Arabidopsis thaliana: one gene and its partners. The protein of the gene in region 2 interacts with the protein of the main gene of each other region in a pairwise test. Each region holds a gene or a part of one and is shown on either strand. Other genes may lie near its edges.

Region 1 (4,341 bases), on a different chromosome or scaffold from region 2:
TAGTTTATATAGCTCATATAACGTTCTTTAAAGAAATAAAAAACATATGTCCACCGTCCATGTTGAAACACGTACTTAGCAACCTGACAAGAAGACATGCTTTAGTTTCTATCAGGCTATAGATTCCAATGACCAATAGTCCGTATTCTAAACCGTACAAATTCTTATACGTATCATACTATCACGTATTGATGATGCGTAAAGTTGCTAATGGAGACGTTCACTGCAAATAAAAGAACATTCTTCCCCATAATGTAAAATATGCGACTTAAAAAATATCAAAATATTGACATACGCAATTCTTAATACTAAGCTCAATTTCTTTAAATAACTTATATTTTTACATGATAAATAGGAATAACAAAATAATTCTTCTTTATAAAAAAAGAAAAATTCGTAATACATTCTCAAACTGGTTATACGGTTTTGTTGATTGATTGTAGCATTTTTGTTTTCAACATATCCAATTTTTAAAGTGTATCTTGTTAGTTAGATTGTTGGTTATCCGGGTATTAATTTTAGAAGATATGTTTAACGATGTGAATGTAGTACTGAATACAATTTGGATGCTTTGACATTCACATGAATGATAATATTTATGCTTAATATTTCTATAACTAGATCAATAGAAATATACAATTTACTTATAATTGACAGATATATACATTCTTTTTTTCTTGGGTCCAAACTTGACCTCCATCGACCTAAATAATCGATGCTACGAGAAAGATATCCACAATATTACACTAGCGAATAGGCCCATAATTTTATCTACATCCTGCTTCATTGTAGATATCGACCAATCATAAATTAATGTAATTGTCACAATTAACCCCTATATATTTATATACTATACTACGACTGAAAATAGATTAGCTTATAGTTTTTTACATAAATTGGCTCATCCAGTCTAATCCATCAATGTAATCTGGCGAGTAGAGCAAGTTCTCGTCAGCCTCACCGTCAAATCCGATGTCGTAATCTCCAAAAAACGGTGTCGTATGATTGGCTTCAATGGTCACAGAGGATGAGATAGGACTGTTACTTAAAGTTCCTTCAACTCTTTTTGCAAGCCGTTGGATCTCTCTTTCAGCCTCGTAAAGTTGTTCCTTTAGGTGAATAACCTGAAATTATAATTTGATTTGATTTAGAGATAATCATTTCCCATTAACAGCTAATCATGTTATTATTAGAGTTTGATTTGATGAGTTTTATTTTGTGGGGCTGGTGATAAGAGAGACCCAATGAGTCAATGACTTAGACAAGCGAGTAACCACTAGAAAACAAAGGGTGTTTGTACGGAAAGATAATTACATATAATGACACTTTTGTTTTTTTGCTGTTCACTTTGCTGTATGATTTTCTTTTATAGAACCAAGATAATTACACTACAATTATTAGTTTACATATATTACTATTTTAGCTATAGAAGGTAACAAAAAAAAAAACTTTAAAATTCAATCAGCATTTTGATTTTTCTTTCTCATTTGCTTAATTATACTACGTGATGGTTTCACTTGGTGTCCATCATCTTGTAAAAACAATATAATTTAGAAAATATCTTTATACCTTATAGAAAAAAATAACAACATTTTTTGGTAAAACACTATAATATTTTATGTTCACAAATAGGAACTCTTGATTAAAAGAGAAAAACGGGTAACTTTTATCTTTGATCAACTTAAATAAAAGCTATAACTATATTATATTTAAAGATTATTAACCAAAATACCAAATAATTTACTTATCTTTTAGAAAATGTGAGAACGTACCTCAGAATCAAGACGACATTTCTCAACGACGGTGGTTTCGTATGCATTCTTGAGTTTAGTGTATTCATCCTCGACTCGTTTGTTCTTCCACCGTGCACGGCGGTTTTGGAACCAGACGGCGACTTGACGAGGATCAAGCCCTAACTCAGAAGCAAGCCGATCTTTCCTCTCGGATTCAAGCTTATGATCGTCTTCAAAGCTAATCTCCAACATTCTTACTTGCTCATCACTCAATTTTCTCTTTCTAAACCACCCATTGCCTTCGTTTTCACCCTCCTCTGCCACCACAACACTCTTGCTCTTCCTTTTCCTCCGCCGTGTTGGTTTTGCTTCTCCTCCTGGTCAAAGAAACCCATCAAAACCAATGGTACAACAAAACATAAATTCTTTAAATGTTTAGCTCTTTTAAGTCTTCTCTAGTATCATGTACGTATATGAAAATGAAAAGACTACAGAAGACAAACATATTATCCAGAACAAAAATAAAGAAGACCCACTTGAAGATATTTCTATAACCAATTTTGGATGTCTTTTTTAATATATGAAAACAAAAAAATGGAACTTTAGGATGTGCAAACCTTGTTGTGGTACTAATGGAGTATAGACATTAGGGTACAATTGAGAAATGAGTAGAAGATTATGATCATCTACATTCTGGTTATTCATGTTTCTTCTTTTCGTTCTCTAGACCTTCTTCTTCTTCTCTCTCTTAGATTCAAAAGATTGGTGATGTTTTTTGTCTCACCTTTTCTGCAATAAGAGAAGATGTGTTAGGAGAAGCAGAGGACTTATCATTTATAAAGGAGGAGTAGGTGTCAAGGGATGGTTTGATTAGAGTTTTTTTTTTTCTAATACATATTTCTTTTTTCCGGATTTGGGCTTATGATTCTTTCAAATAACATTATTGCCACTTAGCAAATCAAGACTAGTAGTAGATCTCAAATGACATATGTACATCACTTTCGTTAATATCTTAATAGTTAATATTGTTTCATATTGAAAATACATGACTTTAACTTGACAATATCATTTTCTTTGTCAAATTCATGTGACAATAAGTAAGAGACCAAAAAAAAAAAAAAGAATAAACAACCTCCCAATATTATTTGGACTATAAAATCATTTTATGTTTTTATAATTTGGTAACAATTGATAAATGGATCATTTTATGTTTTTATATATAAAATAGAAATCTTAACTAGAATTGAAAATTTATAATGCGGATATATTGTTTACGTAGGAATTTTCTAAAATATGCAGCCTATAGTTCAATAACTTTTCAACTAAACCGCCGTAGTTTAATTTATTCGATCTTTGTTGTAGATCTTACACTTTGTTGGCAATTTGGAACCAAAACTCACTTAATTACTAGAGCTCCTAAATAGTGTGTGTTTTGACATACAAACCCTTGATTATCTTAAGAAGCATAAACAAGTTAATTAGTTCATGTAAATTCTTATCAAAACAAAAAAAGTCTTATGAAACATATTCCATTTTTAAAATGCTTCTTAAGGTATGGATATTAACACGTACGTAGTCTTTAAAACCAAAGCAATAATCAATATATAGGTCGCCTTTGAAAAACTAAAGGAAATACATGTAATTATCATTTATAAATATGTAATGCGATAAAGCTTAATTTACGTGTGATGAGAGGATTAGAGGATGTCGTTATCACCATCATATGGATAAGTCTAAGCAACAACCTAAAAGAGAAAACATAACTGACTTGTCTTTCAAAAGGTAGTTTACTTTTACTCTCATCTCTCGTATACTAATAATTTTACTCACTCTTTCAAATGTTTTCTTTAATCGGTTTTTAAACTCGAAACATATATGGTCTACGTTAATGTTAACGTTTATTTTGTTGTATAGCCAAAATGGAAACACATTTTAGGTTATTCAGAGTTTAAAATAATAAATACGAGGTAATCGTTTTTCTTTTTAGCAATGATCAACATATATTTTGAACATACGTATGCATATGTACATACTGTAAAAATAACATTTCATAAATAAATAACAATATTCTGCATATAGAATCCATGTAAAACCGTGGTAAGTTATATTCAAAGAACAAAGTAACCTTCAAAATTTGGGTTTAATACATATACCTTAAAATTCAAACTACTCTACCCATTTTGAACAACTATTTTGTTTTGTTTTCTTAGAAAACGTTTTTACAAATGTTGACATACCCAGATTATATCTTTACCCATTTTGAATAATTGTTTTTCCTGTTTTACATTCTGAATAATTTAGATATATATATGACTTAATGTTATATATATATATATATATATATATATAGATATATTAAAATAAAATATATAATTTTAATATAGAAAATATATATATTGTGGAAAAAATGGCTAATTGTTAGTGAACGAGACTTCAGTGAGATCTACAGAAGAAGAATCTCAAAGATCCATGAAATTTAGGTCAAATCGGTTGAGATTTTAAAACTTAACTCTATGATACCATATTAGTGAACGAGAATTTGAAAAAAAAACGAAGAAGATGAAATTATTCTGTTATTCCTCTTAAAGATTCCGTTACAATGATACAC
Region 2 (3,897 bases):
TCAAATTAAATTATCATTAGAGGTGAAATAAGTGAATGAGTGATCTTAAGAAAAAGTAAACAAAATTAGTTCCAGATGAAAGTCTAGGGATTTGGAAGAAGAACATCATTAATGCAGTAATGTATGTGTGCCCATATGTTTTCCTATCTTCTCCTTCTTGCTTCCAAAGAAGCCCACATGTTTCCTTCTTCCCCAGATCTTCAAAGAACAATATACATATACATATAATATAAGACATAAAGAGGATATAAGAAGCTTTGGATGCATCGACATGTTTTGAGTTTAATTTTTTTTTTTTTTTTTAAGTGAAGAATTAATTCCCAGGAATCAGAATACTGTTGCCGCAGCTAGCTGATGTTATTTCACCTTTTTCATTTCCAATGGAAAAAAAAAATTATTTAATTCACGCATATATGATAATAATATAAGCCATTGAAATACTTATTTAATTCTTAGGGCAGAGATCTCCATCCCAAGGAAATTCCGACCGATCCACATTTGAGTCCTACACTCATTGGACAATTAAATGACAAGTATATATATATATATAGAATCCCACATAAGATATAATTATGACAATAACCAATTTATCATTAGATATGTGTGGTAAAAAATGATCAAGAAAATATATAAACACTCAAAAACCTAGAACTTAAGAAACAAGAACACTATCAGATCTAGCTAGCTACAAATGTGTGTGTGGGTGAAAATAATGGTCAGTCAAATATAATAACACACAAAAACACCAGGAACTTAAGAAACAATATATAACAATGTCAACAAGTAAAAGCTTAGGCTGCACAAAATAAAATAAAAATGAAATCATATGCTAAAGAAGACATAAATAATGCATACACAAAATACATGTACATATATATTCAGGATCAAGTTCATATAGATTCATACACAAAACATGATAAATTCAAACACTGACAAATGTGATGCAAATAAGGACGTCAGTAATTTATAGTCAGACCAATCAAAGATTTTGCTAAGAGACTTAAAAAGCTACTAATGCAAAACATAATTAACCAGAAATTAAAGATCATCACCAACATCATCAACATCATCATCAAAGAGGAAAATGGGTACATAAATTAAACAATAAAAACCTTGTCTCTCAAATTTCTCAAGTAATTAATTAAGCTAAATTAAAACCCTAGTGATCAAAGAAATTCAAGATTCATGGTTGGTCTTGTTCATGATGAAACGAAGACTGTGGTGGTGGAGGAGGAGGAGCCTGATGATGATGAAGTGGTGAAGGCGACTTACCAAGAGTGTGTTTGTTGTTATGTAACCAAACCTTAAGAACTTGTCTCGGAACACCAGTCTCCTGACAAAATCTCTGAATCACTTCATCGTCTTGTCTCTGAATTCTCCATCCAATCCTCTCAGCTAAAGCTAACATCCTTTCCTTTTGCTCAGCCGTAAACTTAGTCCTATGCCTCTTCCTAATCCCTCCTCCTGCTTCAGCTGAAGACGTCTCCATTGGATCTTCTGATCTCTCTCTTTGTGGAGGGGGAAGAGCGAGCTGAAGAGGAGGAGCTTGTGACGGTGGTGGTCGGTAGCTAACCGGAGCTGGAAGACGGTAAAACCCTGGCGGGGGAGGAGGAGGCTGATGTTGTGGCGGCGCGTGATGGAAGTAAGGTAATTCCTTGCGGTGGAAGTTACGGTGACAGCCACAAGCGGCGCATTTTAGAGCGTCGATGGTACCTTCGATTCCAGCTGGCATAAACTCACCACAACCATCGACCGCGTGTCCTCCTATGTTCACCGCTTGGTTCTTGAGACACTCACGGAACCTAAACCTGCTCCCTCCACCGCCGTGAACAACCATGAATCCTCCGCCACCGCCTGTGGAAGTAGTTCCGGTGGTTTCATGACTTTCTGTCGAGGCTTTGGGGAGAACACGAGAGAGAGGAGGAGAGTCGTAAACGGCGTCGTCGTCTTCTTCTTCCTCATGAAGATTCATATCCTCTTCTTGCTCTTCGTCGTTGTTGTTGTTGTTGTCTTCAAACTCCATTCAAGAAGTCGAGAAATGTGAAACTACGTCGTTTTTGGGGAGAGGAGGTTTCTCAAGAAGGTGAAGAAGAAGAGAGAGATAATGTGGACATTAAAGAGATTATCTTTCTCTCTTTTATCTCTCTCTTTTGGATTTGCCGATTTGAGAAGTGTTTTTATTTTATTTTTATCTTTTATTTTTGCTATATAATTTCTTGTTTATTGGAAATCGGAATCTAATATAATCTGTCCTCAACCACACTTTGTAACGCTTTCTTTATCTTTTGCATTATTTCTTTCTTTCTTTCTAATTTTACTTGAAGAGCTATTATACTTTCTTATTAATTATATATTCCTATTATTTTATTCAATTTGGTCGTATCGCTCTGACCATGCATGATTTGTTTTAGTCAACTATTCTTGTATTAGATCACAAATTTTAACCATGTTTATGATATAAAAAGACACGTTAAAAAGAAATTGATTTGAGTTCGTGTTTACTTGATTCCATTTACTGTTTATTTTTTCCTGGGTTATTACTTAAAGTTGTAAAGATTGTTACCTACATGTGAAAATTGAACGAAATATTACTAATTTTCTTCTAAAAATGACACACTAAAAACTTATTTATGTAATCTTGAATTAAAATGATATAATTAAACATGTTTGTCTTCTTCAGGAGTAGTTCTAGGGCTCATCTTAAAACACACTAGGTAGCTTATGGGTTTTACAAGTTTTCCATAAGCTTTTGTTATTTTTGGACAATACAACAATACAAAAAGCTTAGTGTAGGATTAAAAAACAAAAAGAGAGAGGAGATGATATTAGAGATAACTTTTTGGGAAACTAAAAAAAAAGGGGATAGAATCAAAATAAACGCGATAATTATTTTTGTCCATATGCCAATAGCATAAATATATGCATTAATATTTTTCTGCAATAAAGTGATGGGCAGTCTAATCACATCAAAATCAGTAATGCCCTTAATAATTTCAAGGTCTGAATTTTGTTGTCAACTTTTCAGAATTATTACTAAATAATTCAGTATAAATATATAAACACTAAAATAAAACTTTATTTAGTTTTATTTTGTGTCATCAAGTAAACAAAAGTTTAATGATACATTAAATACTTGTAGATTAGTTGCAAATGTGAAGACGAAACGTATGAGATGATCATTTCTCAGCCTCTGATTAACTTATGCTGACGTTAGATCTCCGACGACAGTTTTTATCCTTTCACTATGCTTTTACTGTTTTCTTTAAACGACCAGCACTATTATATACTCATATAACTGAGTATTATTTTTTTAACGACTAGTCTCTTCATTAATTCAGTCGAGGGTCATTGGTCTTGTCAACACAAAATTGCATGATGAATTTACGTAAGTTATTTGTGAGAAATATAAAAAATTTGTTGACGTAGCTAATTAAATTTAAAGAAAAAACATACTATGGAGTATTTTCTTTAAAGAAATATTAGCATTGGTATACGAGAATTCGAGAAGGAAACCAACATTCGCTCTCATCAATATTCAAATATTTCCAATCTTATAAAACAATAAAAAGTTGAAAATGAAATAATTTTTCAATAACCAGATTATGATGATTTAAATTAAAATTATACTATAAAAATACAGCTGACCGTTCCTTCAGAATAATAGTATAATAAAATAAAAGTAACATCTGTGTCGCATCAACAATAAATGCGAATGTTTTTGTACGGCTCAAATTTCAAAGCAGAGATTAAGATTTAAGAGTGAATAATGAAAACTCATTTGACATGAACAAAAAAGTGTAATTTTTATGTTACAAGAAAAATAAAGATCTGAAAATATATAAAACACCGACTAAATATTAATAAGAGGAGGAAATGAAGCAAATGGATTCCTGAAAG
Region 3 (4,007 bases), on a different chromosome or scaffold from region 2:
GTGTTATTAATTATTATTATTTTTTAATTAAAGGTCCGAATGGCGACTGCGTTTTGCGGTACGGAAGAAGTGCGGTGCGGTTCAAATAGTAACAAAAATATATAAATACATATGTATATGTAGAGATTTTGACACTGTTGCGGTGCGGTTTTGGGTACGGTGTATGTCACCATTCATAGCCTAAGAGATGGCTTATATGAATAACAAATTTGGAGTCGTCGGGCAATGTCAGTGTCGATGAAAGGGTAAAAAGTGTTGGGTCCATTTTCAGAAAGAGAATGACCACTTTCCAACCCTATTTGTTTGCATCCTCTCCTCGGAATCTGTAAATTGATGCTCTTTCTTTCACACACTTCACATTTTACTTCAACCGTGCCATTTAACTATATGATTTCTACAGTTTATTGTACCGCTAATCGTAATTAATGATCTATTTTTAAGATCATGTCTTCTATTTTTGTTCATCTTATAGACTTAATTATGACATAAGCATAATTTGTTTCATGGAAAAGTCTTTTTGGGTGGGTTTTTAAAATTTTTATTTCTTAGAGTTTTCTGGATATTAGTTGTACGATATAAAAGCACATGGTTCAGACTTTTTTTAATGTCTAATCATATGGCCCATATGATTGATTAATTATCATATAATATGATGAATATTTCCCCCATTAATTCTCTTACATCACATTACCCAAAAAAACTACTAGCTTAGTTGGTGCATATAGACTAAATATAGATTCTTGAAACATGAATTGGTTCATCTGACCACTTAAAGAAAACGAAAATTTTAATACAAACAAGAACAGATCGACCACATTCAATTGTATTGTTGCTGGTCAAGCCATGGCCAGAACCCAGACTGGTCATCAATTCCACAGAACATGTTACTGATACTGTTCTCTTCTTTCACCATTCTCTGTTCTGACGATGAATTCTGAAAAAACTGCATCGTTGTAGTTGTCGGTGGATGGCCTAGGGCGAATTGGCTATCGATCTCCGGTGGCCTGATGTCACCAGAAATGTTCTCACTTCTGTCACTACATGATCCTTCTGTTTCTTTGTTCAGATTGATTGATTCTATTGGTTCTCTGCTTTTCAATGCCATTACCTGCATAATTTACACAAACTATTTAAGAAAGAACGTAAAATTGCAAAATGATTCCAAATTATGTTTTGACCTAAAACAAATATATTCCAAATTATGAATTCGAAACTGAAAGAATAACATCAATAAAAAACAAAAAAGAGCATTGTTTTTATAAAATTCAACTAAAAAAGATTCATATTTTATGAAATATATGATTTAAAAAACAGAGTATTTAAGATTAAAAAAGAAACAGAGTACTTTTGTGTTATGAAGTTTCTGCTTTTACCTGAGCTTGAAGCTTTTGATTTTGAGTTTGAAGAACTTCGTTCTCATCTCTGAGACTTTCGAATTGACGCTTAAGCATGTCATAGTCTTTCTCAAGCTGCTTGGTTTTGGATCGAGCTCTTCTGTTTTGGAACCATATAGCAATTTGTCTAGGTTGCAATCCCAAGGCACGAGCTAGCTCTAATTTTCGATCTGATTCAAGTTTATTACCAAGCTCAAAGTCCTTCTCTAGTGCCTTCAATTGTTCCATGTTCAATCTCCTCTTCTTCTCTCCCATCTTAGATCCATCGTCTGAATATTCTTCATCTCCGTTCATATCTAGATTACAAAACCCTTGCACGTTGTTCATTGGAGATCTTTTACCTAGAAACCCTAAAAACAGAGAAGATCTTGAGAAGTAGAAAAAAAAAGGATTAGAAATTTTGAACAAAGGTGTTAATTGAGATGATGTACCATGGAAGTCTTGAAGAAGTTGAGGGTGATCTTCTTCTTCTTGGTGATGGTTTTGGAGACTGAAATTTTCAGGGAAGAAAGCTAAGCCATTATTATTACAAGACATGTCTCTTGTTGGTTGTTTTCTTCTTCTCCTCTCCACCACCTTGTCTTGGTTCAAAGTACAGAAAGAAAACTAAATAAAGAAGAAGAAGGATGGTGGTGAAATGAATTAGAAGACTGAGTATACACCACTTATAGGCTAAATACTAGCTAGATTAGAAAATTTGGTTTTATTTTGTTTATTATATGAGTATATAAAATAGGAGACAAGACTCAAAGCCGATGAGACAGAGAGGTAGACATGGGATGATTATAGTCTTTGGAGGGGTGGAATATGGGCTTTTGTATGTTTTGGAAAATCCCTAATTTTACTACGTTGTATCCGTTTTGGTAGATTACGGATATGTACTATGTAGTTTTTCATATCAAGTATTTTTAAAGATAATTCTTGTTTTTTACGAATAGAAAGACAGATATATCATAGTCATACTAATTATATATGTATATTTTTCTATTATAGAATTTTTGAAACGAAATTCATAATAATCTCCGGACATTGTGAAAGATAGCATATTCTTGCAATTTAAGATGTTTACAGTGGTCAACCATGATTGATATTACAGTGAATTGATTAGATTATGGTCACTCAATTTAATAGTAATTTTTTCAACCACTAGATTATCATAATTAATTTATTGTGAATATATTTAATTCAGATGTGTATAATTAAATATGTACCGTAATGAACAATTTGAGTATTTGTAACAAATACTTCAAATTTTGGGAGTTTATAGATCTAGATACTCTTACCACTTTCTCTTCAAAAAAAGAGTTGAATTTAAATATGATATGTAAAAAAAACTGATATTCTTAATGAAATATTTCAAAGTTGATATCTAATTAAAATTTCTTTTAACAGCATGCCCTACATAAGCATTTGGATGGTTGCATGCATAAGTGTTCAAGTCAATGGAATTTTATTTCTAACGAGAACTAAAACTAGTGATTTTGGTCGTCAAGAAGTATATGCAAGCAAACTCTTAGAGGCCCTACATGGTATCACTTGTCTATGTCTCAATGATATGAAATGAAAGCAAACTCTAAGGTCCTACATGGTAACTCTCACTAGTCTATGATATGATTAGACTTCTTCTTTTTAAAACCTTTTACAACATAACATGACTTTTTCTCTATGGTAGGTAAACATACTTTCGGGGGACACAAAAAGCTCTTCATCACCGCAGATTGTGTTTTGACACAAAGCCCATTTTATATGCGAGGCCGGTTTCTTCCTTCTTCTTCTTCTCTTTCTCAGGTCCCCCACTTATCAACTTTCTTAGACGTTTTGGTCGGTTTTATGATAAAATACTTTAATATAGGCCCAACTACTGTATAAATTGGTCTCCCTATCAAATCATTTTGTAATCAACAAGTCTATATTCTACAAGTTTAAATATTTTTGTTGAAACTATTTTATAAATTACCACGAGTTGTTCTTTTTTGTGTGTTTTAACCTCAATTGTATTTATCTAAAAGCATAAACTATTTATTCTATGAATTTTTTATGTTGCATGAGATATGAAAAGTGCAATTCAACGACATACAAACAAACGCATATAAATAAATATGCTCAATTTTTCATTTAGTATCAAAAGGTGTACACAAAATATATATTTTTTCATTTTTTTGCTTAATAAAAAATCACATTGCAAGCCTATTCCTTCTTAATGTATTATGCAATCTTAAATTGTAGTATACACATATGGCTAAGGCCAATTGTTGAAATGGAAAAACAACTTGTATATTTTCTTGAGTATTAGTTTTTTTGGGGGGACAAACTTGAGTATTGTTTAATGTTGGTATATATGTTTGCGAGAACAAGCCAAATCACACACTACAATAACAGAAAAAGAGGAGCTTTGCGGGACGAGTACGGGGATTGGCGAGGAAGTTTTGCCCTGAATTTAGGGCGGTGCACGGCTCCGTTAGCAGAGCTTTGGGGTGTGTACTACGGGTTGGTTATAGCTTGGGAGAAGGGTATAACGCGGCTGGAGCTTGAGGTAGATTCAAAATTGGTGGCTGGTTTTCTCACGACAGGGATAGAAGACTCTCATCTGTTGTCATTCCTAGTACGTTTGTG

What was found.
Region 1: the proteins of HB25 (region 2) and HB21 interact in a two-hybrid assay, tested with the Arabidopsis thaliana proteins (one study listed by BioGRID).
Region 3: the proteins of HB25 (region 2) and AtHB23 interact in a two-hybrid assay, tested with the Arabidopsis thaliana proteins (one study listed by BioGRID).

Annotation. Positions count from the first base shown.
Region 1 is NC_003071.7:8,048,776-8,053,116, forward strand, and holds HB21 (homeobox protein 21), read right to left. Parts: upstream 2,542-4,341; 5' UTR 2,439-2,541; coding exon 2,351-2,438; intron 2,111-2,350; coding exon 1,773-2,110; intron 1,125-1,772; coding exon 888-1,124; 3' UTR 596-887; downstream 1-595. UniProt on the Arabidopsis thaliana protein: Probable transcription factor.
Region 2 is NC_003076.8:26,134,305-26,138,201, reverse strand, and holds HB25 (homeobox protein 25), read right to left. Parts: upstream 2,201-3,897; 5' UTR 2,024-2,200; coding exon 1,184-2,023; 3' UTR 648-1,183; downstream 1-647. UniProt on the Arabidopsis thaliana protein: Putative transcription factor.
Region 3 is NC_003070.9:9,354,050-9,358,056, reverse strand, and holds AtHB23 (homeobox protein 23), read right to left. Parts: upstream 2,231-4,007; 5' UTR 1,932-2,230; coding exon 1,826-1,931; intron 1,745-1,825; coding exon 1,374-1,744; intron 1,109-1,373; coding exon 818-1,108; 3' UTR 555-817; downstream 1-554. UniProt on the Arabidopsis thaliana protein: Probable transcription factor.